4 linked regions of the Stegostoma tigrinum genome follow. The main gene of each other region encodes a partner of the protein of the gene in region 3 in a complex. Links are inferred from orthologs where the notes say so. Each region holds a gene or a part of one and is shown on either strand. Other genes may lie near its edges. The genes, in order: cnot2, cnot10, CCR4-NOT transcription complex subunit 6 and cnot9.

Region 1 (7,348 bases), on a different chromosome or scaffold from region 3:
TATAATGATATGTCAACTACATCTGCAACATTATATGAATGCTTATTCAAACCTTTCCAAGGAGAAGTGAAGTTGGTTAATTCAGATTCTAGTGATTCCAAGTCAATCACTTGCCACGAAAGTACATCTTAAGTCATGAAAAACTGGTAGGGCTTTGGGTTGGTCTACAATATTTGAGCAAGAATAAGGATGAAGATGCCATTCTGCGCTTTAAAACAAAGTGTCACAGTGAAAAAATAAAACATCTTACCAGTTATTCTCAAATGAATTATTACTATGGAAGCAATCAAAATTTTTGATTTTTAAAAATCAAGCATACTATGCATTAGTCTGTTAACAAACTCTGCTCTATGCCAATAGTATATCCTTTAACATAACACCAAAGTCATTGAGAATGTATTCCATTCTTCAATTCTATTCAATGAAACAGGAGTAAGTGGTTCTCAATGTAGCCTCTTCACATCACATGTCTCAATCATTCCAATGAAGTGGTTAGGAATCTTGCAGAATCAAAGAATTTTTCCTCTGGTCATTTGTTAAAGATCAAATTATTTGTTTTCTCCCTGATTCAGGATCACAGAATACTCTGTCAACTTGTCTAACATTTTGCTGAAAGCTTCAATAACCTTTAGGGCTTCATTATCTAATGCATCAGCAATATAATTCAGGAAAAATACTTGTGATAATACCCTTTTAAAACAAAATGCAATATCCTTAATCACTCACTAAAAATCTGTCTCAGCATCACCGCCACCAGTAATCGACCTTTCTAAACTCTAACAGTGGTGCAGATCCAATTGGACAATCTCAATTTGTTCTCTCCAGATGTAACCCACACTTGAAAGGACAAAACCTAACAGTTGCGCTGGGTGTTTTCCAAATTACATGCGCAAAATTCAACACGCTCACAAATCCATAATCTGTACAGCTTTGCTGAAATCCTACTGACAACCAGTGGTCAACAGGGTGGCATTTCTTCAGCTGATTCAATGAGCCATTAGCAACAGTTCACTAGTTTTGGGCAACCTCACATTTTCTGGAGAGGAGAAAAACAAGACTAAGAACATTAAAACACTTAACTGAAACGCTTCAGCCATAAAAATGCAATTATTGTTGTAGCAGTGCCCCCAATAAACAAGTAAAAGCTATATAAAGGTAAGGACAAGTAGGCAAGCATGCTCACACAACTGGTAGTCTCAAAACTGTGAAATAGAAAATAGATGGCAAAACATCCACCCAACAGTCCCACAGTACTGCAGCTCTAATATGGAAATGTCTACTTACTGTATCAATATTACAATTTTTTGGATTACAGATAGTATATGCATCCATACAACTTTGAAAATGTTCTTTCTGATTAAGAAAATACCACATTGTCCAGCGCTATCAAAATACTTGAGCATAAAGGTGAATATGGAAATTATAGAAGTTCTATTTGTTTTGGCAAAATCAGCAACAGAAGTTAGCATCAGTGCTGCTGATGCACAAATACTACAATTTTAAATCACATAGACATACACCACCAAGTCTATAACCACTGCCTTGATACCATTAATGCTTATTTAAAATTTGTAACTGTTAACATATCTGCAAAGCTGTAAGATCTTATTTCTGAAGATGGGTCTCGACCCAAAACGTCGGCTTTCCTGCTCCTCTGATGCTGCTTGGCCTGCTGTGTTCATCCAGCTCTACACCTTGCTATCTCAGATCTTATTTGAAGTTTATTTCAAGTTGTTCATCATTTAAAAAAGACAAATCTATCCCTTCCTTCTTTAAACCAAGGATTTACGCTATGCTAAAAGTAGTTAAAAACATAGTTTGACATCCAATTTATATTTGTAAGTGTCAATCCATATCCCTCGAAAAATTCTGATAATCTAGAAAAATAAGGTAAGTAACTGTATAAACTTTAAAAAAAATTGGAGAACTTAAAATCTCGTAGATTTAGAAAGCTAGATTCCCAGTGTGATAATCTGGTCTGATTCAATATTTGTCCAATTTAATATTTCCAAAGTCATTACAAACAGGAAAAACTAATAACAGCAAAAAATTATTTGGAATAACAAAATTGAACAACAAAGCCAGATGTTCAGCCCTTTCCATCATAAATTGTTTAAAAGCGAGATGTTTGTGACGTGCTGTTGTTTCAGTGGCTATCATCACTTACAAGATCCAAATCACCAGCTACATTTTTATACAAAAAAAATCATTTTCCCTTAGCTGTGCAACACAATTCTGAAATGATCGCCATGTCTCATATTGTGAGGACTCAAGGAACTTTCTGCAAACAATGGTGTCAGCATGGAACAAAACTATGTTTGAAACAAAATATAAATACAACTTCCACCAACAACTTAAAATAGACAAGTTGCATCCAAAAGGAAAACAAGTAAACATTTGCTGACGGCTTAAAAAAATGCAATGCACTGAACCAGGATCGGATATATCGCGACTATACCAAATTTCTGAAATTGAGCAAAGAAGCAATGGGGGATTTGTAGTTATAACTGCGGAAACGCCAGGCACACAGCTCGGGTCTCGTAGTGTAAAATGTATCCCGATGAAGATGATGAGGATGATGATGTAAAGTGTGAAGAGGAGGGCGAAAGTCGGATGCAAGGCCCAGTGCCTGAGGTGTATGTGTTCGTGCAAGGGTCGGGATCTTACTCTGCTCCCCGGCTCCTCGCTGCTTGGGTTGGCCTGTCCGCTTTTTTTTAATGATACTCGATTAAACCAGAGAGAGAGAGAGGGGGGGGGGGTGCAGTGGAGAGGGAGACTCAGTCAGAGCCCAGACAAAAAAAAGGCACAGCAGCCGCCCAAGCCCCATTAGATCAGCCCGCACTCCCCGCCACCGCGCTCGGCAACATTTTCATCGAAAAAGTTGTCGCCGACGCCAAAGGGACGGAGCTCTAGCGGCTCCGAGCGAGAAATAAAGAAAGAAAACGTTAAAACTTACCGCATGAATTATCTCCTAAAATAACTCCAAGATGGCTGTGTATTGCACCGGGGATGCTGGGTGCTGCCCTTTACCCTATGACCTTTACCCCCCTCCCCTGGAAGCAGGCGAAAGGATGACAACAGAAAATAAACAGGTGGAGGCGAGTAAAGGAAGCAGCGTTTCTATTTCTTATTATCGGGTTCTGCTTTCGCTTTCTTTCCAGTTTAGTTTGAAGCCTTCGTTGTTTATTTTATTTTAACGCATCTTTCGCTCCTCTTGAGATTTTGTTTTGACCCCAGAAAAAGCCTCAAAATCCCGACACCGTGCTGAGAGAGACACTCACACGGAGAGAGTTGTGTGTGGCCTGGAGCTGATGATGAATGTAGCTGGGATTGATAAATCAACCATGTGTATATTTCACCCTATTTCTGTCTTGCACTATTTTCGCCAGTTCCAAATAATATGTGAATGGCGTAGAACTTTTAACCGAGACAAAATACGAGTGAGGGGGGAAGCAATCGGTTTCTCCCTGTCGTCTTTATGCAGTAAATTTGCCTTTTGGTGAAACTCTTTTTATACTTTGTATAAAATGTAGAAATTTTAAATTTTAAGAAGGGGTTTCCTCCAAATTTCTCAGCATAGAAATTCTTTTGCATCTTTTAGTAATTGCATCTGTCAGGCTTGTGTAACTGCATTGGTGTTAATCTTTGAAATTTATTTATATTGGTGAGATCATTTATCTATTGTCCAACTGCAATCTTATTTTGATTCTTGATTTAATTAATATCATGTCACAGGGAGCTGCATCTAGAAACAAAGCAGTAATGGAGGAATTGTGATGATTTCATGAATTGTAAGTATAATATTTAACATAACCAGGGTCTTAAATAAACCTATATTGTATTGCCTGTCATTGTTTGCCACTTAAAATATCTGTAGAATATCTTAACATCTATTTTTATTTCATATGATAACAGTTGCCTACTATTTTGGAAGTTTTTGTATCAATTTTGAAAATGATATTGACAATGACGGATGTAAAGCTAACAGTCACTTTAACGTGGAGATACTGTATGATACTGTCACAATAAAGTGTATTTAGCAAGTAGCCAATTATAAATGATTAATTTGAATAAGCTTCAATATTAACCAAAATTAAATCTATCATTTTGTACAATTTGTACAATTCCATACATGCAGTATGCTGCAAAGACCAGCCAGCTTGAGTGAAATATCAATAATTGATGCACAGATGAGCAGCTTCTGCCTCTAGTACTATTTATTATCAGATCCAAATAATAGTAAATTTAGGTACTTGCAAATATCCATCGAATTATAGATATAGACAATGACTGCAAAACTGTAATTGAAACTTGAGTTTCAAGTAAGTGTTAAAAGGCCAAGAACAAAATTAGAATAGCCTGCTAACCCAAAATCTGATTACAAAAATAATAAGATTTTAACTTCCCAATCTGGTTTCTTTTACATGATAGTACAATGACTTAGATTGTAGGTATTTTCTAACAAACCTGTTCAGAGGTGATATCACACACATCTGGAGCAGATGGGACTTGAACCTGGACCTCCTGGCTCAGAAGTAGGGGCATTATCACTGTTCCATAAGAGATGCTCATGTTGCAACACCAGCCTGACATTTTAATTAGTGCCATTAAATACATAAACATGCAACATCAAGGAAATCATGTAACATTTACAAATCTTTAGCCTAAGCTGCAGCTTTTGTGCGTTGTTCTGGACGTTACATTTTAGAAAGATTTCCAGTCGTCGGAGGGGCTGCAAGGAGATTGATGAAGATGGTAACAGAGTTGAGGGACTACAGTTATTTGGAGCAATTGCAGAAACTGACATTTTTATCCTTAGACCAGGCAAAATTAAAGGAAACCTGATATGATATTCAGAATTATGAGAGATCCAATAAAGTAAGTCTAGCAACCTAATTTGGTGTTGGTTGTCCACAAGTATCTCAATGGCCTTTTTTTTTCACGTGCATTCCCTAATAGTCTGCAAAACCATGAATGCTGAAAGCAGACTCCACAGGAACTTTAAATGGCAATTGGATTTACGCTTGGAAGAGGATTAATTTTCAGCATCAGAAGGAGTGTGGAATGAAATTAGTTAGCCATTTGAAACAACATGGTGTAGAGCTGGATGAACACAGTGGGCCAAGCAGCATCAGAGGAGTAGGAAGGCTGACGTTTTGGGCCTAAACCCTTCTTCAGAAATCATTCCTGAAGAAGGGTCTAGGCCCAAAACGTCACCCTTCCTGCTTCTCTGATGCTGCTTAGCCTGCCATGTTCATCCAGCTCTCCACCTTGTTATCTCAGATTCTCCAGCATCTGCAGTTCCTTCTATCGCTGAAGCCATTTGAAACAGCCAGTGCAAAATCAGTGCTGTAATATTCTGTTCTAAATCTTCCTTTTGTTTTCTTTTTTTTAAAGCAGGGATTAATCAAATAGTCAGCAAGGTTTTATTAAGGGGTGGTCAGGTCTGACTAATTGAATATTTCAAAGTGGTCTCCAGATGTGTAGGTGAGGTCCGTGCATTTGATGTAGTCTGCTTAACAGCAAAGCTTTTGATAATGTCCAGTGTGGGAGACTAATAGCAAATGTGAGAGCCTGTGGGATCCAAGGAAATTTGGCAAATTGGGTACAGAATTGGCTGAGTGACAGGAAGCAGATAGTGATGGTTAAGAGCTATTTTTGTGACTGGGAGTCTGTGTCCAGTTGGGTCCTGTAGGGATCAGTGTTTGAGCCCTTGCTATTTATGGTACCTATAAATGGTTTAGACCTGAAGGTACCAGAGTTGATCAGTACTTTCTTGGCTAATACAAAAATTGTTGGGTTAGTAAATAGTGAGGAGGATAGCCATAGATTACAGGAGGATGTGGATAGGCTGGTCGGAGGGGGTGATCAGTGGAAAGTGAATTCAATCCAGATAAGTGTGTGGTGATGTACTTGATGATCATTGGGACAGAAGCACTGACAATCAGTGGGACTTTAGTGTGCAGAGCCTGCAGCCTCTCAGCGTAGTGGAACAGGGAGATAAAGAAGTTAAGAAATCATTTGGGATACTTGCCTTTATTAGCCAATGCATAGATTTAAGGACCTGGGAGGTGATTCTGGGACTGTACAAAATGTTGAATAGGCCACAGCTAGAGTATTGTGTGCAGGTCTGATATCCACATTAGAGGATGGATATGATTGCGCTGGAGCAGATGCACAGGAGATTTACCAAGATGTTGCCTGGACTGGGTTTTTTAATGAAGGGAGATTGGATAGGCTAGGGTTGTTTTACTTAGAGAGGTGGTGTAGGGGGAGTGGACATGTTGAGATGTTTAAAATTATGAGGAGCATAGATAGGGTAGCAGGAAGACAGGGGGCACCACAATGACAAGCTCTGGCTGTTAATGCCAATTTTATTGCTGGTAAGTGCTATTTTACCAAAAGGAGGACAAAATGGAGGTGAAATAACCAGTCAGTTATTTTGAGAAATTGAGTAATTATCAGCAGAAATAATTGATAATAGAGAAATGTCTTTTGACTCTGCAAAAGTTCGAAATTCACTTGTTTAATAACTTTGAAGAGACTATTATTTATACAATGGCCTGTCTTCAGATGTTTGGAGAGTTTTCAGATGAGAATTTAAGACTGTTTCATTACAGTTTAATACTACAACCGTATAATTTTAGAAATCATTCAATATTATAGCAGGTGCTTTTCTAGAGCAAATATGAATGAAACAATGTCATGATCAAAATGAACTTGCGTAGAATATGGTTATTAGGAATATTGGTGCGTATTCATTATAAATAAATTGTTACAGATGATGTACCACAGAAATGGTGTTAAGAGCAACGTTATGTTTGAAAAAGATGCTATTGCCTCTTAAGGATACCTTTGCATTTTCACTTTTGCGGAATGTATGAGGAAAGCTGTATTATATATTACATTTTTGAAGTTTGGATTTGAAAATTTAGGCAGATGGCTGTGGGTCAGTTCTGTTAAGGATTGTTTTTCTTAAAAGGTGAAATAGGCGGCTTTTAACAGTGATTAACTGCATCATTTTGAAGAAGGTCTACAACTTCAGCAAATGCCTGACAAACACCCGTGGTATTAATTGATAAAGTATTTACGCTCTTAGGTTTATGACAGGCAGAGGAAGCAAGTTAAGGTAATTTAGTTTAGTTTTGACTTCAGAACAGAATGATCAAACTTTTCGTCTAGAAAAGCCCAGAATTCAATTCAGAAGGTAAAATAAGTTTCTTTGAAAAGGAGAATCAAACGGATGAATTTAACCAAACATTGGCTAAGTATCACTGAGGGATTTTTGTAGAGGGTTTCTCTCTGAGCTCTAGTGGTTATCTGGCACAGTTCCTTGCTGTTCATCTCA
Region 2 (7,603 bases), on a different chromosome or scaffold from region 3:
TGTGAGATGACAAGGTGTAGAGCTGGATGAACACTGCAGGTCAAGCAGCCTGCTCCTTTGTTGCTGCTTGGCCTGATGTGTTCATCCAGCTCTATACATTGCTACGTCTAGCCTAATTCTGTTACAATTTTGCAATTTTAAATGGTCGAGTACACAGATGACATCAACTGACAGGGGAAAATTAACCACGTGGTGAAGAGTTTAAAATTATTAAGTGTATGAATTAGGAAATGGCAAAAACCATTTGATGCTGGATGAAAAGTAATAATTGATGCAAGGTACCAGATGTGATTCAGCAATTATGGCTGCAGTTGTTATACTGTAGTACCCCATTAAATCATGCATTGAGATGTTGTTTTAAAACAAAAAGGCCTTTTTGGGGAGGCTGTCTCAAAGGACATTCTTTACTAACATCTCATACAGAATACACAGAGTTAAAACAACATTGTTTCAGAGATAGTAGGAACTGCAGATGCCGGAGAATCTGAGATATCAAGGTGCAGAGCTGCGTGAACACAGCAGGCCTAGCAGCATCAGAAGACCAGGATGGCTGACGTTTCGAGCCTAGACCTGAAGAAGGGTCTAGGCCCAAAACGTCAGCCTTCCTGCTCCTCTGATGCTGCTTGGCCTGCTGCGTTCAAACAATTCGACACCTTGGTATCTCTTAAAACATTTACGGTTTATCAGTTTTACCTGATTTTTCAACAGGTTGAGAGTCTGCCTTAAGGTATCTGTCAAAGTCTGTCCATTTTTGTAGAACTCTGCCACCGCTTTATTCAGAGATATTTTGTAATCATCTTTGTTCAGCTCTTGCAGATGACCCAGATATTGCAGACAAGCGTCAAACTGTCCGGACTACGGCAAAATTAAGAAAATGTATATAAAATCAACCGCTGTTTGCAGCAAACAATTTTCTGGAACTTCATAGTTCATACATCCAAATAAACACTGATGCAGTTTTAATAAATCACAGTATGTAAGATGCTGTTAGGGGAGGGGAAACAAATGAAATAGACCGACTGGTGCACTCGGTAAACAAGGAGCGAGCACATTGAATCCTGTCATCCTGATAACAGCTGGAAATTTCTGTCATACCTCAAACTGTAAATTCCCATACTCCGTTCTATTGAAATAGAAAACAAGCTAACTTCAACAATTACCATTTTAGAAATTTTGACTCAATGTGTCACAGATGTTATCACACACCTCTTAGAGCAGACTTGAACCCAGGTGTCCTGACTCAGCAGATGAGGACACTACAGACACTACAAGAACCACCAATTTTTTTTCTTCTTACCAGGACTCAAAATTGGATGACAGCATGTGTACATGCGCATGCGTGTACTGTCTTGTTCTTGACCCATTATCACATTGTAACAATAACAGCAAACAACAGGAAACTGCTGAAAATGTTACATTATGATCATTTGGTCAAAAAATCCTGAAGAACAACTTTATGATATAGTACAATATGTGCAAATATCATTACTTATGATCATTTAATTCGGTGTTATTTACATGGAAATAAATCTAACTGCTGCTACCTGTGTTAAGTTTCAGAAAAAGGAGCTCAATTCATTTCCTATTCAGTGGTGTAGAGAATAACAGTACCATGTTATTCCCTTGCATATCACACTTCAGGCATTAAGTTTCAGATTATAGAAGACACACAGCTGTTTATGGAAGTGTCTTTTTCTATTGACACGAACAGCGTGGAAGACTATGCTAATCGTAACAACTCAAAAGCCTGGAACAAAAATTAACTGGCCATGAAATTCAATCAACGGAATTAATAGAAAAGAAATATTGCAATTGTCTTGGCCCATGAAACTTGATTTCATGGTAACTCTTTATAATGTAATACTTACAGTGTAAGCCTGATAAGCATTGTTTGCAAGCTCCTTGACATGGTCAGCAACCCCTGAAGAAAGAGAATTACTCTCTGTTTTCACATCAGTATTCTGATCTACAAAACAAAACAAAGACATTTATTTAGCATATCTGTTTCTCATATTACAATTTCTTTCCTCACATTCTAAAAATCTGCAGTTTCTTCTGAACCAATAAAAACTTAGCTAAAATCAGTCTTGAGCTTCTGCAAAAGTGAAGGAATTTTTCATCTCATTCATAAACTCCTTATCATGGGATTACATTTTCACCACCTAGCCAGGGAGAAACAGTCTGTCAGCCCATACCCTGTCAGAATTTTATCTGCTTCAATGAGATCACCTCTCATTCTACAAAACCCAGAGAATGTAACTACAAACCAAAATCAAAACAACTCATTTAGAGGGGTAATGAATAAATGTTTTGAAAGAAATTGAAATGGATGGTGACAACAACAGGGGTATAATCAGCTTGAGCATTTCAGTGAAGAGTTTTAGCTGGCATTGAAAATTACATAGTTGTAATTTATGCATTTCAGCATATTTTACAGAAAACATCACTTCAGTTAAAAATTTTTAACTACCTCAACAGTTTTTTTTAAACATGCTTACTCTGTCACTGAGCAGTCAGGACAGCACTATCTGTCTTATGGCACAGAATGAGGCCATTTAGTACAAATACAGTTACCCAGCTTAACCCACCTTGCAGCACTTAGTCCATAATCCTCTTTGGTTCCAGCAAATGAACATGAAAATACTTTTAAAGTCTTGTGAGATTGTGTGATCTACCATCCTTCGAGACAGACAGGTTGAGACTCCAACTGCTTTGTGGCTAAACAAATATATTTCAGATTCTAGACTGGAATTGATTCACCACCTTCACAATTCACAAGTGTCCGTCCCCGTACGTGTGCGCACACGCACACGCGCACAAACACACACACACAACTTCCTTACCGACCCTAGACCCCTCACCTCCATTACTCGCCGCAGAAGGATCTGACATGATTCCCATTCACTTCTTCCGCCCCCCCTCCCCAGGACGGGGAAGGAGCCCAAGCCCCAGAGCCGGGTAAGGTGTAGTACCGTGTACCCAAGGCCCCGCCGGAAATCAGTCATCCAGGCGCATCTAATGAGCGTCACTTCCTGTAAGAGGCTATCCTTGGTGCATCTTGTATATTCATTACATTACAGTGTAATACACCCTAAAGAAATATAATATGCAATATACCAAATCCTATGGAATTATAATGTTGTACGCTATACTGTAGGAAATATCAAATATTGCATCGCGTATAGGATGCATTGTAAAAATAGAACATACAATTAATGCACCTGGTCCTGTGGTGATATTTGATATGCTTAAATGTAAAAAATAGAACAAGTCCGTCCATTAACAATATTGAACCCATTAGCTATCCATCACATCAATTCTTGGATAAAAAACGTAAAGAGTATTACAGATAATACTCTTTATCTGCTCTAGCAGTTTAATGAATGGGTTTAGTAGTGGAAAAGGGAATGAGCATTGAAGTTATAAAATATTACAAATAAAATCTCAATTATATACCTCATTGTCCATATAAATTATGTTAAAAGCAAGGTGAGGACATTTCCAGTAGAAAGTGGGACAATATTAAACAGGAAATATTAATTTAGAAACGAAACATCGAATAATACGACCATGACGGGTGGAGAATATGTTTGAACAAGGTACTGAATGAATTTATAGATAATACGGAATATTTGCAAACTTTGAATGAAGATTTCCTCCATCTCAGTACTAAGTATTCAAATCCTTATCCTGACAGTAATGCAGAGAGGGTGGTCAATACCATTTCCATTTCATAGGAATGAGCTGGATATAGGAAACAATTATAAATTGAACTCTGCAGACATGTAAAACACAAATTCCAATGCAGGTTTTTTTTAAGAGATTAAATTCCCTACAGTGTGGAAACAGGCCCTTCGGCCTAACAATTCCACCCCACCTTTTGGAGCATCCCACCCAGATCCATCCCCCTAAACACTATGGGTAATTTAGGATGGCCAATCCACCTAGCCTGCACATCTTTGGACTGTGGGAGAAAACCCATGCAGACACAAAGAGAATGTACAAACTCCACACAGATAGTAACCCAAGGCTGGAATTGAACCAGGGTTCCTGGTGCTGTGAGGCTGCAGTGCTAACCACTGAGCCACTGTGCCACAGGTTACAAAGGAGTACTTACACGCAATTGGGCAGATAAATGCAAATATAAACATTAAAGCTGCTACATGTTGGGAGGACAGTGAGGTACACCATGGAGGGGTTAGGATCAGTGACATAGACTGTCAGTGTATCGGTCATTCTCTGGGTCATTCTTGGTCTCTCATTACGATTTATTCTTTTCCTGTGAATCTCTCTGTATGGCTTACTGAAAACAACAAATGCTGGAGGTCACAGTGGGCCAGACACCATCCTTGGACAGAGAGCAAACTAACATTTGGAGTCTAGACGACTCTTCATCAGGGCTCTGATGAAGAATCATCTAGACTCAAAACAATAGCTTGTTCTCTCTCCATGGATGCTGTCTGACCCGCCGTGATTTCCAACATTTGTTATTTTCAGTACAGATTTCAGCATCTGCAGTAATTTGCTCCTCCATTCTCTTTATAGCTTACTTTGTCTGGATCATTGACTTTCTATCAGTTATTTTCTCTCTCTTGACCACTCTGTATGTTAAATGATAGAAAACAGAGGGTAAGTATAGATGGGTATTTCTCAGACTAAAGACAAGTTGTCAATGATGTTTCCAAGGGATCAGTGTAGGGATTCTTGACTTTTCTGATTGATATAATTGACTGCTGAGATGGTTGCTGAGGACAAAGTCTCTATATTTGCAGAGGATACTAAGCTAAGAGAATTGCAAATTGTAAAGATGACGTTGAGTGACATCAGGGAGACAATGCCAATTTGGCAACCTGGGCAAATGCCTGGCAGATGAATGTCAATGCATACAAATGTGAAGTAACACATTTGATAGAAGAAACCTGGAAAGACATTACAGGCTGAATGATACAACTTTAAAGGGAGCACAGGAGCAGAGGGACCTCAGGATTCAAGTGCAGAATTCTCTGAAAGTGGCCAGGCAAGCAGATCAAAAAGAATTAGAGGCATACAGGTTTCATTGCAGGTTGCGTTATTTGAGGCTAGAGTCCAGAGTCCATTCATCAGTCTGATAATGGCCGGAAAGAAGCTGTTTCTGAAGCTTGTGCATGTGTTTGGGTTTCTGTGTCTTCTGCCTGATGTAAGAGGTTCTAGGAGGTCATAACCAGGGAGCAATGTGTCTTTAATGATGTTGACAGCTGTTATGCACCTGTGAGCTGTGTAAATACAGTATACAGCATAAAAGCAGGGAAGTAATACTACGTCATTGGTCATATTAAATCATTTGTCAGATCATATTTGGAACATAGTGTTCAGTTCCGGGCTCCTTATTTAAGGAAAGGTATTAAAGCCCTGGAGAGAGTGCAAATGACACTAGGAATGACAGAAATTAGATAGAAGATCATAGAAATTGAACTCACTCTCCCTACAGCAGAGAAGACAAAGTGTTGCCCTTTCAAGGTATTCAAATTTTAGAACAATTTTGACAGGGTAAAGGAGGTATTCTGTTTCTACCATTTAGTGTATCAGCAACTAGGAGTTACATTTTCAAGATTGTCAGCGAGAGGACAAGGAGTAAGATGAGGAGAAGTTGTATCAGTGATAATGGGAACTGCAGATGCTGGAGAATCCAAGATAATAAAATGTGAGGCTGGATGAACACAGCAGGCCCAGCAGCATCTCAGGAGCACAAAAGCTGACGTTTCGGGCCTAGACCCTTCATCAGAGAGGGGGATGGGGTGAGGGTTCTGAAATTTTTTTTATTCCAGAACCCTCACCCCATTCCCCTCTCTGATGGAGGGTCTAGGCCCGAAACGTCAGCTTTTGTGCTCCTGAGATGCTGCTGGGCCTGCTGTGTTCATCCAGCCTCACATTTTATTATCTCGTAAGATGAGGAGAAACTTCTTTACTCAGAGACTTGTTTGGATTTGGCATGTGAGATAACAAGGTGTCGAGCTAGGTGGACACAGCAGGCCAAGCAGCATCAGAGGTATTTGGCATGCGGTGCCTGGGATGGAGGTGGATTCCATAGGATATTTAAGAGAGCTGAATATATATTTGAACATGATGAATACAGAGAGCTATGGACACAGGGCTGGAGAATGGGACGAGCTTGTTCAGGGGCCAGTGCACAAAAAGCCTTCTGCTGTGCTGAAAAGTTCTATGATTCTGCCCACGGATCCTTCCCTGAAGGTCTCTCACTATCTGGGAGCTTACTTTGTCCAGACCACTGTCTGTATGTTACATTCTCTCTCTCTTTGGGTCACTCAACTAGTTTCTGCTCTCTGGACTTCTCTCAACTGATTATTCTCTCTCGCCCTTTCTTTCTGGGTTTCTATCCAATAGTCACTCTGTCTCTCTCTCTCCCCCCCCCAAAAAGTTCTTCTCCCGAACAGTCACACCCTCTGGACCTCTCTCCAATGTCACTCACTCTAACCCTTTCTTTTTAGGCTCAGATATTCAGTCTCTCAATTAGTTAGATTAGAGGTGTCAGTGAGTGGGGGTAAGTGAGTGTTATAACAACAACATTCTCTCAGAGTCCCCACTATGTAAACCATCATCCAATTCTTATCTACTTGTGTAAAGTAGACTTGTACTTTTAAAAGACACATTAAATTTCAGAGAATGCGTTAAATTATGTGGGTTTATGTTTGAGAGGAGGAAAAGCTTTAAACCCATGCCTGGTTTTCTGCTAATACTTTCCAGAAAGTGTGAGGCAGCAGCTGTTAGCTACTCAGTACAAACAGCATTCATGCATGAGCTTAGCCAAGAATTGGCAACAGTCGGTTTGACAGAGGCTTAACAAAGGTGATTCTCATCCTGCTTTTGCTCAGTGTCTAGGTACCGTTTATTTAAGCAGCGGTCAGTTGAGTGCCTTCAGGGGACGACCTTCCTGATAAACTACCAGACTGCTCCTTTATCTCCCCTCCCGACTCAGCTCCTTCAGCATCCTGAGTCTGACTAAACAATCCATTGCAATCTTGCCAACTAATTTAGTTCAGTCCAGTGATTGAGTGGAAAAGAGGTTCTGAGCTTAATGTCCTTTCTCATCAACTATTGAATTTACTTACTGTTGTATTGAAAAGGGGTCCTTGTGTTAAATAGCAGAATGCTGATGCCACTCATGGCGAACTTTGTAGATCAGTGTCTTCAGGAAGATAGAGGACGAAAGACTTAGTGCTGAGGATGGTTTTTCCTTTCCTAGATTTAAAATTTCCTCAAGAGCATTTACAACCACCAACATCAGCGTGTACTCCTGTTCCTGTATTTCCAAATAATTCTGAGCATCAGACATTGGCTCGGCCTGTAAGTCTGCAGTTCATGTATACCTTTTGTGACCTGTAATTCTGCTGAATTTACAGTGCTTGTGTTGGTATGGCTTTTTTAAATTTATATTGGATGAATTGCGCTGCCCAGAGAACACTTTAGGTATGCATCCCACTGGAATAACAAAGCTCACTTATAAATCAATTCATTCCCTTTCCTAGAAATAAAAGATTGCTCTATCCTGCTTGAATAATACACCTTGCTTCTTCATAAATTGCATTGCTTTGAAACTTCCGTCCCA
Region 3 (6,946 bases):
GGATAGTTTAAAAACAAACTCGAGGCACCCTGGCCAAAAGTAAAAAGTTAATATCACTGAATTGATGGGAAAGTGTCTACTAGTTCGAGTCACATCTTGCACAAAAGCAAGATGGTAAGGCATGCTGGATGTCAATCATCTCAGTTCCAGTAAGCTGCTGTAAGAGTTCCTCCAGGCCTAATTAACTGCAGCAACTTCGATGCTTCCATTAGAAGGTTAGAACTGGACATGATTGGTGAGTCCAATACTCACCATTTCAAACTCATTCAACACTGAATACATCTGTGTAAATATGTAGCACAATCTGAACAACATTCAGGTTTGTGTTTAAGCAGCAACTAACATTCACTCTACTCAAGTATCAAACAATGACTATGTCTTGTCTATGAATGGTATCACTATTGCTGAATCCTCACTAACATCCTCCTAGTGGTGATCTGTGTCCAGAAACTGAAGTGGACAACCAATCTTAAAATTATGGCTACAAGAGGAAATCCAAGGCTGGGAATTCAAGTTTGTCTACCATCTGTAAAGGCACCAGACAGGATGTTGACAGAACTCTCGATTGCCTGAATGGATAGCACCATTCATGATGCTCAACAGCATTGAGAAGTTATATTTAAAACAATTGTCCATTTAAGCAAGACCTCTTCACAACAAATGTAAAGTGACAGCATCATGTTGTAGAGAATAGGCAACAGCAACTCAAGCCTCCAACAGTACCTTCCCAATCCACTACCCCTAACACCTGGAAGGGCAAGGGCAAGGGCAATGGGTGCATGGGAATGCTGCCGGCTGGAAGTTCCTCTAAGTCAAACAGACATCTGACTTACGACCACAATCACAGCTCCTTCACAAGCATGGAACTAAGTCCTGGAACTCCTTTCCTACGAAAAGTTGTGTGTACTGGCAATAGTCATTTCAGCAGATGGTCAAAAGCACCTTCATGCCACCAACATGCAGAGATGGGTGACAAATGTTGGCCTTACTGGTGATACCCACATGAAAAATGCACAATATTTGTATTCAAAAAAGGATTTAGTCAAACCTAACACTTATTTCCTATACATATGCAGTTGGATTTTTTTCCCCCCCAAGCAATTGCTGCACTGTATTTTCAACCATCAGCTTTCTGTTCAAAGTTGAACAGGACTGTGGAATTAGGTACGTAAAACCAGTCTTAATAAAAGTAGATGAACATTAACTAAAAGAATGAAGATTCTTAAAATACAGGACGCAAGCAGTCAGATCAGACAAACCGATGGCAAGAAATTCCTAATCATTAGGCACAATGAAGGCCGTCAGAAAGACATAGCAAAAAGTGTTTAAGGGTGCATATACAAGAGGGATTTGGAATATGAGAGCTGGCACAAGCGCCATGTCTGTACAGCCAACTTGCTGTTAAATCCTATGATTCCAGTTATAACTTGAAAGCATTTTACCTAAATGCTAAGGCAACACAGAAGAATTAGAAAATAAGTAGTGACGGAAGAGCAGTCCCTACATTTTACATTTCTTCAGGGAAAATACTTCCTATATCCTTAATGCCGAAGTTGTTTTCACCTGTTTCTTTCTCACCGCACCCCCACCCCCAACTCTACAGGGTGCCTTAAAAAGGACATTCAATCGCAGCAGCATCACGTGGAAAAGTTACTGGGGTTTTTGCAATCGACGTTATCGCTAGAATTGCAATTAAAAGCATAATAGTGTTTTGTCCTCGTCATCCACTTTAGCAACGAATTTTATTCCAAGTTCATGTCTATGATCTAAACACGTAGTTTCAAAAACTTCAGCGATTGTTCAGGCCACCCGAAAATAGGTAACGGCAAAAAAGTGGCGGTGAAGTGGATATACCTGAATTGTGATTTCAAAACTAGTACATTTAGGGGAAGTAGTAGTTCAATACTTTGTTTTCCAGATGCTGTACCTATATTCACTTACCAACCGAACTGGTGAAACGTTATAGTATACAAAATGAGTGCGTGTACCCTGTAGTAATTTGTACACTAATTAAGCGCCCCCAAATCACACATCACTAGTATTTACCATTATCATACTGGGGCGCAAAGAACTACGTTCTAAAAATCAACCTACCTTCATCACGGATGTCCCGCCCCTACACTGCATCCATTGGTCGATAAAAACCCGCCGTGCGCCACATTGGTGAACGGTTTGTGTTTGAGTGGCGCGTTCAGTTGTCAATCAAACCACACACGCACACTTCCGCCACAAAGCTAGGTCGCTCCGTCGTTCAAATAAAAGCTCCCCCTACTACTAACGTGTAGGCCTCGCATTGACTACATAAAAGAAGCGACTTAGTTTTCCGTTCAACCGAGACTCAAATGACTTTTAGGGCAAAGAGGTGACTCAAATAAAACGAACGAAGCCGACAAAGTCAAACAAATTAGCTAAGTCTTTTTTTAAAAAAACTTGAGCTGGAAGTTCTAAATTTAAATACTAAAAAACCTCGCAAGGTTCAGAACGTTACAAATAAATACCTTTAATTCCCTGCTTTGCTCAGGTAAAGTGAAACCTTAAACCGTGAGGTTTGAAGTGAGAAAACATTTTTATACCTGCGAACACATAACAAAAGTTCTAGACCTTTCTTCCCTTCGCCTACAAACCCAGCGAACCCGTTCTAAAAGCAAACAATCATCATGGCGCCCGCTTTCCATTATTTCCCGGAGAGTTTTCCCCTCCTTTGCGGCTCGCTGATTGGCTACAGCGTGGACCGTACCACTCGGCCTCGCGTGAAGCAAAACAAACAGAGTCGGAACGAGCGGCTCGCGCCGGAAGGGGTGCGTGTTGCGGCTGTTGAGGACAGCGCGAGCCTTCTGGCCGGAATGTCCCGCTGCGCGCCGATTCCCGTTCAAACTACAGAGACTGCAACGGTGAGGACGGCCGAAGGCCCTAATCATCTCTTTTGACCGAGCAAAATCGATTTGTCCATATTAAGGCGTGCATGTCCGCTGGATAGCTATACGCACTCGGCAGGTCATGTTCTTAAATTTTACAAACTACCTCTGCTTCTCCCCCTCCTTGTGTGGAACTTATTTGTTTTGAAAGCGCCGTCTTGGGCGGGGTGGGGAAATACCCGTAAATTTGATTGGCTTAATTATATCGAGCGTAGGTTTGTCGTTTACCTTGTTTCTTGAGTTTCGTCAAAGGAAGCAATTAGGAGCCGCATGGCAAGTTACTAGCCCAATGGAAGTTCAACAACGGATGAGGGTTAACATGTAATTTTCACTCCGCTTAAAACTATCAATGAGTGCCGACTTTAAAGGAATATTTGATCCGTTTTTATTGCTTGTAACTTGTTAGAGCTAATTTAACATCTTGTAACTCGAATTAGGTCGCACTTCCAGGCATTGCGCTAGATCCCCACCAGCTAACTGGACGTGGAATGATATTGACGGTTCAGTCGTTTCCCTTCAATAGGTTTTCAATTTTACTAATACCTGAACTTCAGCCAAGCATCCACCACCTTCCTAATCCCATGTTTACCCTTTCCATCTTTCACTTTACACGCTGCTTTGTTTATTCTTAATAAGTCCCAGCTTTTCTTATTTGTTACATGCTGCCCCACTCAATTAACACCTTGCCCTCCTTACAACCTGTGCGAGAAATCCTGCTGCCTCTTTCATCAAGTTTATCATTTTCTAACTTCACCATTGACTGTGATCACTACTCCAGCACCATCCTATCTATGTCATTTGTGGACTCCTGTTGCACCTCAACTCTCACTTCCCAGGGACAACAAGGTGTAGAGCTGGATGAACGCAGCATCATCAGATCAGGAAGGTTGACGTTTTGGGCCTAGACCCTTCTTCAGAAATGGAGGAGGGGAAGGGGTTCTGAGATAAATAGGGAGGGCTAGGCAGACAGAAGATGGATAGAGGACAAGATAGGTGGAGAGGAGACAGACAGGTCAAAGAGGCAGCGATGGAGCCAGTAAAGGTGGGTGTAAGTGGGAAGTTAGGGAGGAGATAGATCAGTCCAGGGAGGACGGACAGGTCAAGGGGGCGGGATGAGGTTACTAGGTAGGAAATGGGTGTGTGGCTTGAGGTGGGAGGAGGAGATAGGTGAGAGGAAGAACAGGTTAGGGAGGCGGGGACAAGCTGGGCTGGTTTTGGGATGTGGTAGGGGGAGTGGAGATTGATACCATTGGGCTTCAGGGTTCCCAAGTGGAATATGAGTTGCTGTTCCTGCAACCATTGGGTGGCATCGTTGTGGCACTGCAAGAGGCCCAGGATGGACATGTTGTCTGAGGAATAGGAGGGGGAGTTGAAATGGTTCACAACTGGGAGGTGCAGTTGTTTATTGCGAACCAAGTGTAGTTGTTCTGCAAAGCAGTCCCCAAGCTTGGTTTCCCCATAAAGAGGAGGCCACAATGGGTACAGCGGATGCAGTGTACCACATTAGCAGATGTGCATCTCCTTGATGTGGAAAGTCTTCTTGGGGCCTAGATGGGGGTGAGGGGGGAGGTGTAGGGCAGGTGTAGCACTTCCTGCAGTTTCAGGGAAAAGTGCCAGGTGTGGTGGGGCTGGAGGGGAGTGTGGAGCAGACAGGGGAGTCACAGAGAGAGTGGTCCCTCCGGAAAGCAGCCAAGGGTGGGGAGGGGAAAATATCTTTGGTGGCTGGGTCAGATTGCAGATGGCAGAGGTGTCGGAGGATGCGATAGGGTTAGGGAGGATGATGTTTGGGAACCCTGCAGCCCAATGGTATCAATGTGGATTTCACAAGCTTCAAAATCTCCCCTCCCACTACTGCATCCCAAAACCAGCCCAGCTCATCCCCGCCTCCCTGAACTGTTCTTCCTCTCACTTATCCCCTCCTCCCACCTCAAGCCACAGCACCATTTCCTACCTACTAACTTCATCCTGCTCCCTTGACCTGTCCGTCCTCCCTGGATTGACCTATCTCCTCCTTACCTCCCCACTTACACTCACTTTTACTGGCTCCATCTTTGACTTGTCTCGTCTCCATTTCATCTATCTTCTCCTCTACCCATCTTATATCTGCCTCCCCCTCTCTCCCTATTTATTTCAGAACCCTCTTCCCCTCCCCCATTTCTGATGAAGGGTCTAGGCCTGAAACGTCAGCCTTCCTGATCCTATGATGCTGCTTGGCCTGCAGTGTTCATCCAGCTCTACACCTTGTTATCTCGGATTCTCCAGCATCTGCAGTTCCTATTATCTCTCACTTCCCAGGGACATCCTTTTAGAATGTAAATCCTATTCTCACCGCTTTTAAAATCATAGAGAATTTACTGAAAATGCTCAACTGGTCAAGTGAAACCGATTGAGAGAGAAACCACTAACACTTCAGGTCAACAATATTACTGAATTCCCACTCCATTAGACTGCCTTGAGCAAAGTTGCCCACAAGTTTGTGAAATCTGTGGCCAATCTTCATTGTGTCCTGGAAAATGTTTTGCTCACTTGCAAATTATTCTGCAGTAAAGTTTCTGACATACTGAGCAAAACTGGCATCAGTGGAATCAGGAGAAAACTATCCACTGTTTGGGGTCATCATGGCTGATCTAATTTGGTCTTAACTCAATTTTTCAGCCTGATCCCCACCACCATCCTTAACTTTTACCTCCTTTGATAATAAACAAACTGTGTAACTGAGATTTGAATCTATTCAATTACCTAGCCTCCACTGCTATTTGGGGAAGTTTTCCACTCAGGCCAGGGGTTGAGTGTCCCTGCTAGAACCCAAACTCAATACAGCTTTAGTCTGATCTTGTACAGAACTTATAAAAAGAAGGTGTAAGGTGAAAGTATTTGCTGTTAGTATCAAAACAGCATTTGACCATGCCTGGAATCAAGGGCCTTTAGGAAAACTAATGTCAATGGGAATCAATGGGCGGAACTCCATTGGTTGGAGACATATCAAACACAAACTAAGATGTCATTGTTAAAGGTCAATCAAATAAATCACAGATCAGTCTGTTCTAACCAGTCTGTTCAGAGCTGTTACTACACATCTCTGGAGCAGGTGCGACTTGAACTTGCCTTCTGTCTCAGAGATAGAAACACTACCACTGCATTACAACAGCCATAATTTGTTATTGTTTTAGGCCCAAACACCTTCAGCTTCTTGTATCAATGACCGTCCCATCAACATTAGGTCAGAAGTGACCATAAGATGTAAGAGCAGAATTAGGCCATTCGAACATTGAGTTTGCTCCACCGTTCAATCATGGTTGAAATGATTCTGAAGCCCATCCACCTGCCTTCTCCCCTAATCCTTGACCCCCTTGTGCATCAAGAATCTATCCATCTCTCTCTGTAAGCCATTCAATGATTTGAACTCCACCGCTTTCTGTGGTAAAGAGTTCCACAGATTCACCCACTGGCTGATGAAACTTCTCCTCATATCTATTCTAAAGGGTTGTCCCTTCACTCTGGTGCTGGACCCTCAGATCCTGTTCCCTGCTACTAGTGGAATAATCTCCACATCCACTCTATCCAGGCTTCTCAGTATTTAATGAGATCCTTCTTCATTCCTCAGAGTCCTCAACCACTTTGCACATGACAAGCTTTTCATTCCTGGGATCATCTTGTGGACCTCCTCCCAATGCCAGCAGATCCATCCCGAGCTACGGGTCTGAAAACTGTAAAGTAAAAAGTAAAGAAAAGTAAAGAAATAGCTAAAAGTTCAACAATCTTAAGTGCTTAGCCATGCTGAGCTCGCACTCCATACAAGGGCTCAATCTCCTCCACTTTGGCCATCTCTCCGGGAGATCTTGGGCTGCCTCCTCTCGCCACTACTGCAGATGCCAGGGGACATCTCTTATTGCTGCATTGGACTCATTTTCCTGCTTCAGGCTCAATTTCCAACCGTCAAAACCCTCATCTAGGCTTCCAGCTGCTGCTATGTTCCAAACCTCATGAGCTACGAAGACACTGACTGCTAAAGTCCCTGCTCCGATATCCCA
Region 4 (7,622 bases), on a different chromosome or scaffold from region 3:
CCACAAGATTGGGGTGGCTCAGTGTTTAGCACTGCTGCCTCACAGTGCACAGACACATGGGTTTGATTCAGGCAACTGAGTAGAGTTTGCACATTCTTCTTGTGTCTGTAATAAGTGTAGAGTTGGAGGAACACAGCAGGCCAGGCAGCATCAGAGGAGCAGGAAAGCTGACGTTTCAGGTCAGGACCCTTCTTCAGAAATGGCTTCATAGTGGGGTTATAACTCACTCAGAGATACTAAGAATTACTGATGCAAGAGCCTGAGGTGACATGGCACGGGGACTCTTCTTCAGAAAATCCCAACCCGAAACACCCGCTTTCCTGCTCCGCTAATGCTGCCTGGCCTGTTGTGTTCCTCCAGCTCCCCACCGTGTTCTCTCATTCTCCAGTATCAGCAGTTGTTACTATCTCCCCCATGTCTGCATTGGGTTTCCTCTGGGTACTGCAGTTTCCTCTCAGTCCAAAGATGTGCAGATTAGGGTGGACTGGCTGTGCTAAATTGCACGCACTGTCCAGAGGTGTGCAGGCCTAGGTGGTTCCACTAGTCGGGGGGGGGGGGAAGAGAAGAGAATGCGGGGGTAGTGGGCGGGGGGGGGGGAGGGGAGTGAGAATGCGGGGGTAGTGGGGGGAGGAGAGAAGAGGAGAATGCCGGGGGGGGGGGGGGAATTGGGTGGAAGAGGAGAATGCCGGGGGGGGGGGGGTGGGTGGGTGGGGAAAATGGGTGGAAGAGGAGAATGCCGGGGGGGGTGGGTGGGTGGGGGGGTAAATGGGTGGAAGAGGAGAATGCCGGGGGGGGGGAATGGGTGGAAGAGGAGAATGCCGGGGGGGGGGGGGGGGAAATGGGTGGAAGAGGAGAATGCCGGGGGGAGGGGAAAATGCCGGGGGGGGGGTGGGGGGGGAATGGGTGGAAGAGGAGAATGCCGGGGGGGGGGGGGAATGGGTGGAAGAGGAGAATGCCGGGGGGGGGGGTGGGGTGGGTGGGGGGGGAAATGGGTGGAAGAGGAGAATGCCGGGGGGGGGGTGGGGGAGGAGAATGCCGGGGGGGGGGGGGGGGGGAGAGGAGAATGCCGGGGGGGGGGGGGTGGGTGGGGGAGGAGAATGCCGGGGGGGGGGGGGTGGGTGGGGGAGGAGAATGCCGGGGGGGGGGGGGGGGGTGGGGGAGGAGAATGCCGGGAGGGGAATGGGTGGAAGAGGAGAATGCCGGGGGGGGTGGGTGGGGGGGGAAATGGGTGGAAGAGGAGAATGCCGGGGGGGGGTGAATGGGTGGAAGAGGAGAATGCCGGGGGGGGGGGGGTGGGGGAGGAGAATGCCGGGGGGGGGGGGGGTGGGGGAGGAGAATGCCGGGGGGGGGGGGGGTGGGTGGGTGGGGGGGGGGGGAAATGGGTGGAAGAGGAGAATGCCGGGCGGGGAAATGGGTGGAAGAGGAGAATGCCGGGGGGGGGTGGGTGGAAGAGGAGAATGCCGGGGGGTGGGGGGAGAATGGGTGGAAGAGGAGAATGCCGGGGGGGGGGGGGGGGAGGAGAATGCCGGGGGGGGGGGAAAGAGAAGAATGCCGGGGGGGGGGGGAGAAGAGAAGAATGCCGGGGGGGGGGGGGGGAAAGAGAAGAATGCCGGGGGGGGGGGGGGGAAAGAGAAGAATGCCGGGGGGGGGGGGTGGAGGGGGGGGGAGAAGAATGCCGGGGGGGGGGGAGGGGGGGGAGAAGAATGCCGGGGGGGGGGAGGGGGGGGGAGAAGAATGCCGGGGGGGGGAGAAGAATGCCGGGGGGGGGGGGGAGGAGAGAAGAATGCCGGGGGGGGGGGGGGAGGAGAGAAGAATGCCGGGGGGGGGGGGGGGAGAGAAATGCCGGGGGGGGGGGGGGAGAGAGAGAAGAATGCCGGGGGGGGGGGGGGGGAGAGAGAAGAATGCCGGGGGGGGGGGGGGGGAGAGAGAAGAATGCCGGGGGGGGGGGGGAGAGAAGAATGCCGGGGGGGGGGGGAGAAGAATGCCGGGGGGGGGGGGGGGGGGAGAGAAGAATGCCGGGGGGGGGGGGGGGAGAGAAGAATGCCGGGGGGGGGGGGGAGAGAAGAATGCCGGGGGGGGGGGGGGAGAGAAGAATGCCGGGGGGGGGGGAGAGAGAAGAATGCCGGGGGGGGGGGGGGGGAGAGAGAAGAATGCCGGGGGGGGGGGGGGAGAGAAGAATGCCGGGGGGGGGGGGAGAGAAGAATGCCGGGGGGGGGGGAGAGAGAAGAATGCCGGGGGGGGGGGGGGAGAAGAATGCCGGGGGGGGGGGGAGAGAAGAATGCCGGGGGGGGGGGGGGGAGAGAAGAATGCCGGGGGGGGGGGGGGGGAGAGAAGAATGCCGGGGGGGGGGGGGGGGAGAGAAGAATGCCGGGGGGGGGGGGGGAGAGAAGAATGCCGGGGGGGGGGGGGAGAGAAGAATGAGAACGTGAGGACTAGTCTCTCCTCGATGGGCAGAGTGGCCTGCTTGCACACTGTAGAAATTCTAGGGTTGTCTGATCATAGCTCCACTTCCCCGCCCGCCTCCCTGGTGACCACAAAATCCGACAGGCTCGGCCTCAAGCCCCACCGAGGCCTCAGGCGGTCCCCGGGCAGGCTCCCTGCAGCCTCCCCCGCCGCCCGAGTGCGGGTAAACTCGGCGAGTCCCTGCCCGGGCCTCCCGCAGCGAGGGCGTCGCTGTCTCCCCCATCCCTGGCCTAAACCGGGGGGGGGGCGCGGGGAAGAGGCCCCCACCTCGCCCATCCCCACCGGGACTTACCGCCCCTGCCCCCAGGCTGTGCATCTTCCCCCGCCGCCGCCGCCGCCCCTTCTTCGGGTAAAAACTTCACATCAACGAGCCCGAGGCTCCCGGCTCCTGTGTCCGGTGAACCCTGACCTCTGACCCTTGGTCACCGCTTCTACCCAAAACACGTCTTTTATTTTGAAAAGGAATTTACATCAGGAGAATCATTCAAACCCTTCGCAATCCGACTCTCTTGTGTAGAATAATCTCCAGTTTCACCTCGCACCATTCCGCGGAATTATAGGTTTGAACGCATTTCCGCTCTTCACCTTTGCCCTTTCACCCCGTGACCGCGGCATTGAAACACAAGTTGATAATTATCCTTGTTTATTTCGTACGAATTGTGCCCGAAGCGCGCTTCAGACGATTAGGGTATTTTTTTTAAAAAGAAAATGATAGACTTTGCGGGTGTGTTTCCTCAGGCTGCGCGCTGCTTGCTGGGAGGCTGCCTTCGCGCCATTTTGAGCGGCGGTTGGGGTGAAGAACATTTTAATGTTTTTATTCGAGGCGGTGATGGGGTTTGGGGAGAGTCGGTTGTTTTAGAGCGGGGCGGGTGTTCGGCGGACGGACCGTACCGGACAGGATCGGGGAGAAGAGGAGCGCTCTGTGCCTGAGAGCACTCCACGCCCCGGGGCATTGTGGGAGCGGCAGTCCCGCCATCTCGCGGCGGCGGCGGCGGCGGCGGGAGCGGAGCGCGAGGCGCCGTCTCTATGGGAACGGCCCGAGAGGTACCGTAACCCCACCCGCGGGAGTGTGTCTGTGTCTGTGTACCGCACCCCCCCCCCCCCCCCGGGGCGTGGGGTAGGGAGGGACAGGCAGAGGGGACCAGACCTTCCCCCCCGCCCCGGGGGTAGGGAGGGACAGGCAGAGGGGACCAGACCTTCCCCCGCCCCGGGGGTAGGGAGGGACAGGCAGAGGGGACCAGACCTCCCCCCGCCCCGGGGGTAGGGAGGGACAGGCAGAGGGGACCAGACCTTCTCCCCCCCCCCGCCCCGGGGGTAGGGAGGGACAGGCAGAGGGGACCAGACCTCCCCCCGCCCCGGGGGTAGGGAGGGACAGGCAGAGGGGACCAGACCTCCCCCCGCCCCGGGGGTAGGGAGGGACAGGCAGAGGGGACCAGACCTTCCCCCCCCCCCCCCGCCCCGGGGGTAGGGAGGGACAGGCAGAGGGGACCAGACCTCTCCCCGCCCCGGGGGTAGGGAGGGACAGGCAGAGGGGACCAGACCTCCCCCCGCCCCGGGGGTAGGGAGGGACAGGCAGAGGGGACCAGACCTCTCCCCGCCCCGGGGGTAGGGAGGGACAGGCAGAGGGGACCAGACCTCTCCCCGCCCCGGGGGTAGGGAGGGACAGGCAGAGGGGACCAGACCTCCCCCCGCCCCGGGGGTAGGGAGGGACAGGCAGAGGGGACCAGACCTTCTCCCCCCCCCCCCCGCCCCGGGGGTAGGGAGGGACAGGCAGAGGGGACCAGACCTCTCCCCGCCCCGGGGGTAGGGAGGGACAGGCAGAGGGGACCAGACCTCCCCCCGCCCCGGGGGTAGGGAGGGACAGGCAGAGGGGACCAGACCTCTCCCCGCCCCGGGGGTAGGGAGGGACAGGCAGAGGGGACCAGACCTTCCCCCCCCCGACCCCCCCCCCGCCCCGGGGGTAGGGAGGGACAGGCAGAGGGGACCAGACCTCCCCCCGCCCCGGGGGTAGGGAGGGACAGGCAGAGGGGACCAGACCTCCCCCCGCCCCGGGGGTAGGGAGGGACAGGCAGAGGGGACCAGACCTCCCCCCGCCCCGGGGGTAGGGAGGGACAGGCAGAGGGGACCAGACCTCCCCCCGCCCCGGGGGTAGGGAGGGACAGGCAGAGGGGACCAGACCTCTCCCCCCGCCCCGCCCCGCCCCGCCCCGGCGGTAGGGAGGGACAGGCAGAGGGGACCAGACCCCTAGGGGGAAGTGGGTGTGGAGACAGAGGGTGCAGTCCCCTGCGGGAGAGACAGAGAGTACCTCACCCTTTGGGGGTTGTCGGGGGGGAGGAGAGAGGGTGAACACTGTACCCCACGGTGGGGAGACAGACCAAGTAATGTGCCTGGGGCTATGGGGGGGAGAGGCAGAGGGCACTGCACCTGTGGGGAGCTGAGAGTAGGGAGTACTGCACCCCCAGGAAAGGAGTGGGGCGTGCTACTGCATCCTGAGGGGAGAGTCGGGGAAAGGACTGTATCGTGGTGGCGGTGAAGAGAGTCTTGGGCACTGCACTCAAGGATGAAGCCAGAGTGAGCGGGCAGAAATACCTGTGTCTGGGCAAGGGGGTAGGCACTGAGAGAGGCGGACTGCATTTCAAGGATGGGGCCAGAGAGATGGAGCTTAACTGTATCTGTAGGAGGCGGCGGGTTGGGGGACAGAGAGAGAGCACAAGACCGAAGTTGTGGAACAGGAAGAACTGTTGTGGTGTGTGTGTGTGTGTGTGTGTGTGTGTGTGTGTGTGTGTGTGTGTGTGTGTGTGTGTGTGTGTGTGTGTGAGAGAGAGAAGGATTCATGACTTTTGAAGCAAAGACCAGGATCATTACCTGAAGAGAGAAATTTGCAAGATTGCGGAAAGGCTCCCAGGTGGAACTCAGTGAATGATTCTTTTACTGTTGAAGAATCACTGGAGTTGAAGTGTTAACTCTGCTGCTTCTCACAGAATTTGCCAAACTGCAGTCTCTGTTTCTGTTTTTTTTTTAAAAGAGCCACTGCTGTTTCCAGTATAGTAACCATTCTCTAATTCTGTCCTGCCTAAAGCCTATCTTGTTCCACCATACCTAACCCTCCCATCCTTAACACCGTTTCCACAAATGTCAAATTCCATTCCCAAAAGACTCCTCGTACCCCAACATTGAAACCAGTTTTGGAAATGTGTAGAGATCACAGGACTGGGTATGATGCCCTTTCTAAGGGACCAGAATGCAAATTGACCTCCAGTGTGTCTGTGCAGTTACTATGTTTACCGTTTGTCCTCCCAACACCTTGTCCACCATCTAAAAGGCGCGAGTTAAAAATGTGATGGAATACTCGCCACTTGCCTGGTTGATAATATTTAAGAAACCTGACACCATTCAGGGCAAACAGCCTGATTTTTTTTTAAACTTTCATTTCTGTATATTCTTTGACAATCTCAGGATATGCTTTTAGCTCCTAATGAGAGTGTCTTTGGAACAGCTGCTGTTGTAATGTACACCTTTGTAATTAATTGAGTGTTCCAAAACTTTGCTGTTTTCCTATTTCCTACTGTCTGTATTGTTGAGGGTTTCGAAAACTTAGTGGTTTATGTTGCATACAGTAACTTCCAGAGTTGATAAGGGGGAGCCATTTGTTCAGTCTTACTCAGAGTTTGAAGCTTATAGCTTCCAAGTTATGCACCAGGAGTGCTCATGATGGTTTTGTGATCAGATGTTTGACTGATGAACTGTATAGCTGATTGGTCAGATGTAAAAGTTTTCATGGCCGTACTTTGAATGCAAGCTTCAGGGTTTGGTTAATTTTAAAGCAAAATCATGAACTTGGCTGATGCCTCTGAACATTTGTGCACATGTCTGTCTGTTCCTGTGTGACCTCCCCTTCAAATTTGTCATTTAGTCAATCTTTCTTCCTACCAACACACTTAATTTTTCGTGTATTTCAGTGTCTCATCAGTGTCCTCCTGAAGTCTCTGGTTACACTTCTCATTAGTTACGATGTTTGCAAATTATTTGTGAATTGTAGACCAAAGTTGGAGTACTTTTTAGAAGAAGAATTTAAGCCATTAAAATATATCAGAGAGAACAGCGGTCCAAATGCAGATTCAGTTGAGCTGGTCAAGAATTAGACCAAGTCATTTCTGGATTCCAGAATTTTCATAATTGTGACATGATGTCAGAATATCTAAACAGAACTGTGTGAACAGGAAATCATTCGGAAATAAAGACTTATCTGAAACATAAAACAGTGTTATAGCTTTAAGCAGTTTTAAAGCAAAGTTAAATTATGTAAGTACTGTTTCTTCAATGTTTCTGCTTCCTAAACATTGCACTGAAATAATACTCCAGTCTACTCAAAAAAGTCTAGAAAACTGGTGTTTCTAAATGATAATTTGTACAGAGGGGTGGACATGTGTTTGTTCTGTTCTGGATTATGATTCCCACAAACAAAAGTAGGCTGACTGATTTCTACTGAAGGTTTTGACTTCTTTAAATAGGAATGTAATGTTTGGGTCGTTAACACACCAATATCTAACGAAGGATCGGAAGATCATGGGCAGAGCCTCTTAATTTTAGCCCTTCTCGCATGAATCCGGGATGAATCCCATCTAGAATCTTTCAGCATCCGTTTCTCTGCACAAGTGACTCCAGTCTCTTAAGTTGTTTTGCCGTCGCTGCTTTAAATCTGCTGTTATTACCCCATTCGATAAAACCAACCTTTGACTCTAGTTTCCACAGATTGAAGGGACAGATATACAGCCCAGAAACAGACTATTTAGTCAAACTTGTCCACATCGACCAGATATCCTAAATTAATCTAGTCTTGTTTGGCCCATATCCCTCTAAACTCTTCCTATTCATATACCTCTTCAGATGCATTTTAGATGTTGCAATTGTACCAGCCTCCACTCCTTCCTCTGGCAGCTCATTCTGCATATGTACCACCCTCTGTGTGAAAATGTTGCCCCTTAGGTCCTTTTCAAATCTTTCCGTTCTCACCTTAAACCTATTCCCTCTAGTTTTCAATTCCCCCACCCAGGGGAAAAGGCCTTGTCCATTTACACTATCCACACTCCTCCTCTCGGTCTTCGATGGTCCAGGGAAAATAGTCCCAGCCTATTCAGTCTCTCTCGATAACTCAAACC

What was found.
Region 1: CCR4-NOT transcription complex subunit 6 (region 3) and cnot2 share a complex: the UniProt entries of both Homo sapiens proteins name them as parts of the CCR4-NOT complex. The link is inferred for Stegostoma tigrinum from reciprocal best matches to the Homo sapiens genes CNOT6 and CNOT2.
Region 2: CCR4-NOT transcription complex subunit 6 (region 3) and cnot10 share a complex: the UniProt entries of both Homo sapiens proteins name them as parts of the CCR4-NOT complex. The link is inferred for Stegostoma tigrinum from reciprocal best matches to the Homo sapiens genes CNOT6 and CNOT10.
Region 4: CCR4-NOT transcription complex subunit 6 (region 3) and cnot9 share a complex: the UniProt entries of both Homo sapiens proteins name them as parts of the CCR4-NOT complex. The link is inferred for Stegostoma tigrinum from reciprocal best matches to the Homo sapiens genes CNOT6 and CNOT9.

Annotation. Positions count from the first base shown.
Region 1 is NC_081371.1:45,261,044-45,268,391, forward strand, and holds the start of cnot2 (CCR4-NOT transcription complex subunit 2), read right to left. Parts: upstream 3,011-7,348; 5' UTR 2,957-3,010; intron 1-2,956. UniProt on the Homo sapiens protein: Component of the CCR4-NOT complex which is one of the major cellular mRNA deadenylases and is linked to various cellular processes including bulk mRNA degradation, miRNA-mediated repression, translational repression during translational initiation and general transcription regulation.
Region 2 is NC_081358.1:37,183,706-37,191,308, forward strand, and holds the start of cnot10 (CCR4-NOT transcription complex subunit 10), read right to left. Parts: upstream 3,002-7,603; 5' UTR 2,902-3,001; coding exon 2,862-2,901; intron 1,967-2,861; coding exon 1,869-1,966; intron 856-1,868; coding exon 694-855; intron 1-693. UniProt on the Homo sapiens protein: Component of the CCR4-NOT complex which is one of the major cellular mRNA deadenylases and is linked to various cellular processes including bulk mRNA degradation, miRNA-mediated repression, translational repression during translational initiation and general transcription regulation.
Region 3 is NC_081366.1:37,289,131-37,296,076, reverse strand, and holds the start of CCR4-NOT transcription complex subunit 6, read right to left. Parts: upstream 3,010-6,946; 5' UTR 2,499-3,009; intron 2,489-2,498; exon of another isoform or gene 2,095-2,488; intron 1-2,094. UniProt on the Homo sapiens protein: Poly(A) nuclease with 3'-5' RNase activity.
Region 4 is NC_081360.1:103,197,071-103,204,692, forward strand, and holds the start of cnot9 (CCR4-NOT transcription complex subunit 9), read right to left. Parts: upstream 3,018-7,622; 5' UTR 2,780-3,017; coding exon 2,756-2,779; intron 1-2,755. UniProt on the Homo sapiens protein: Component of the CCR4-NOT complex which is one of the major cellular mRNA deadenylases and is linked to various cellular processes including bulk mRNA degradation, miRNA-mediated repression, translational repression during translational initiation and general transcription regulation.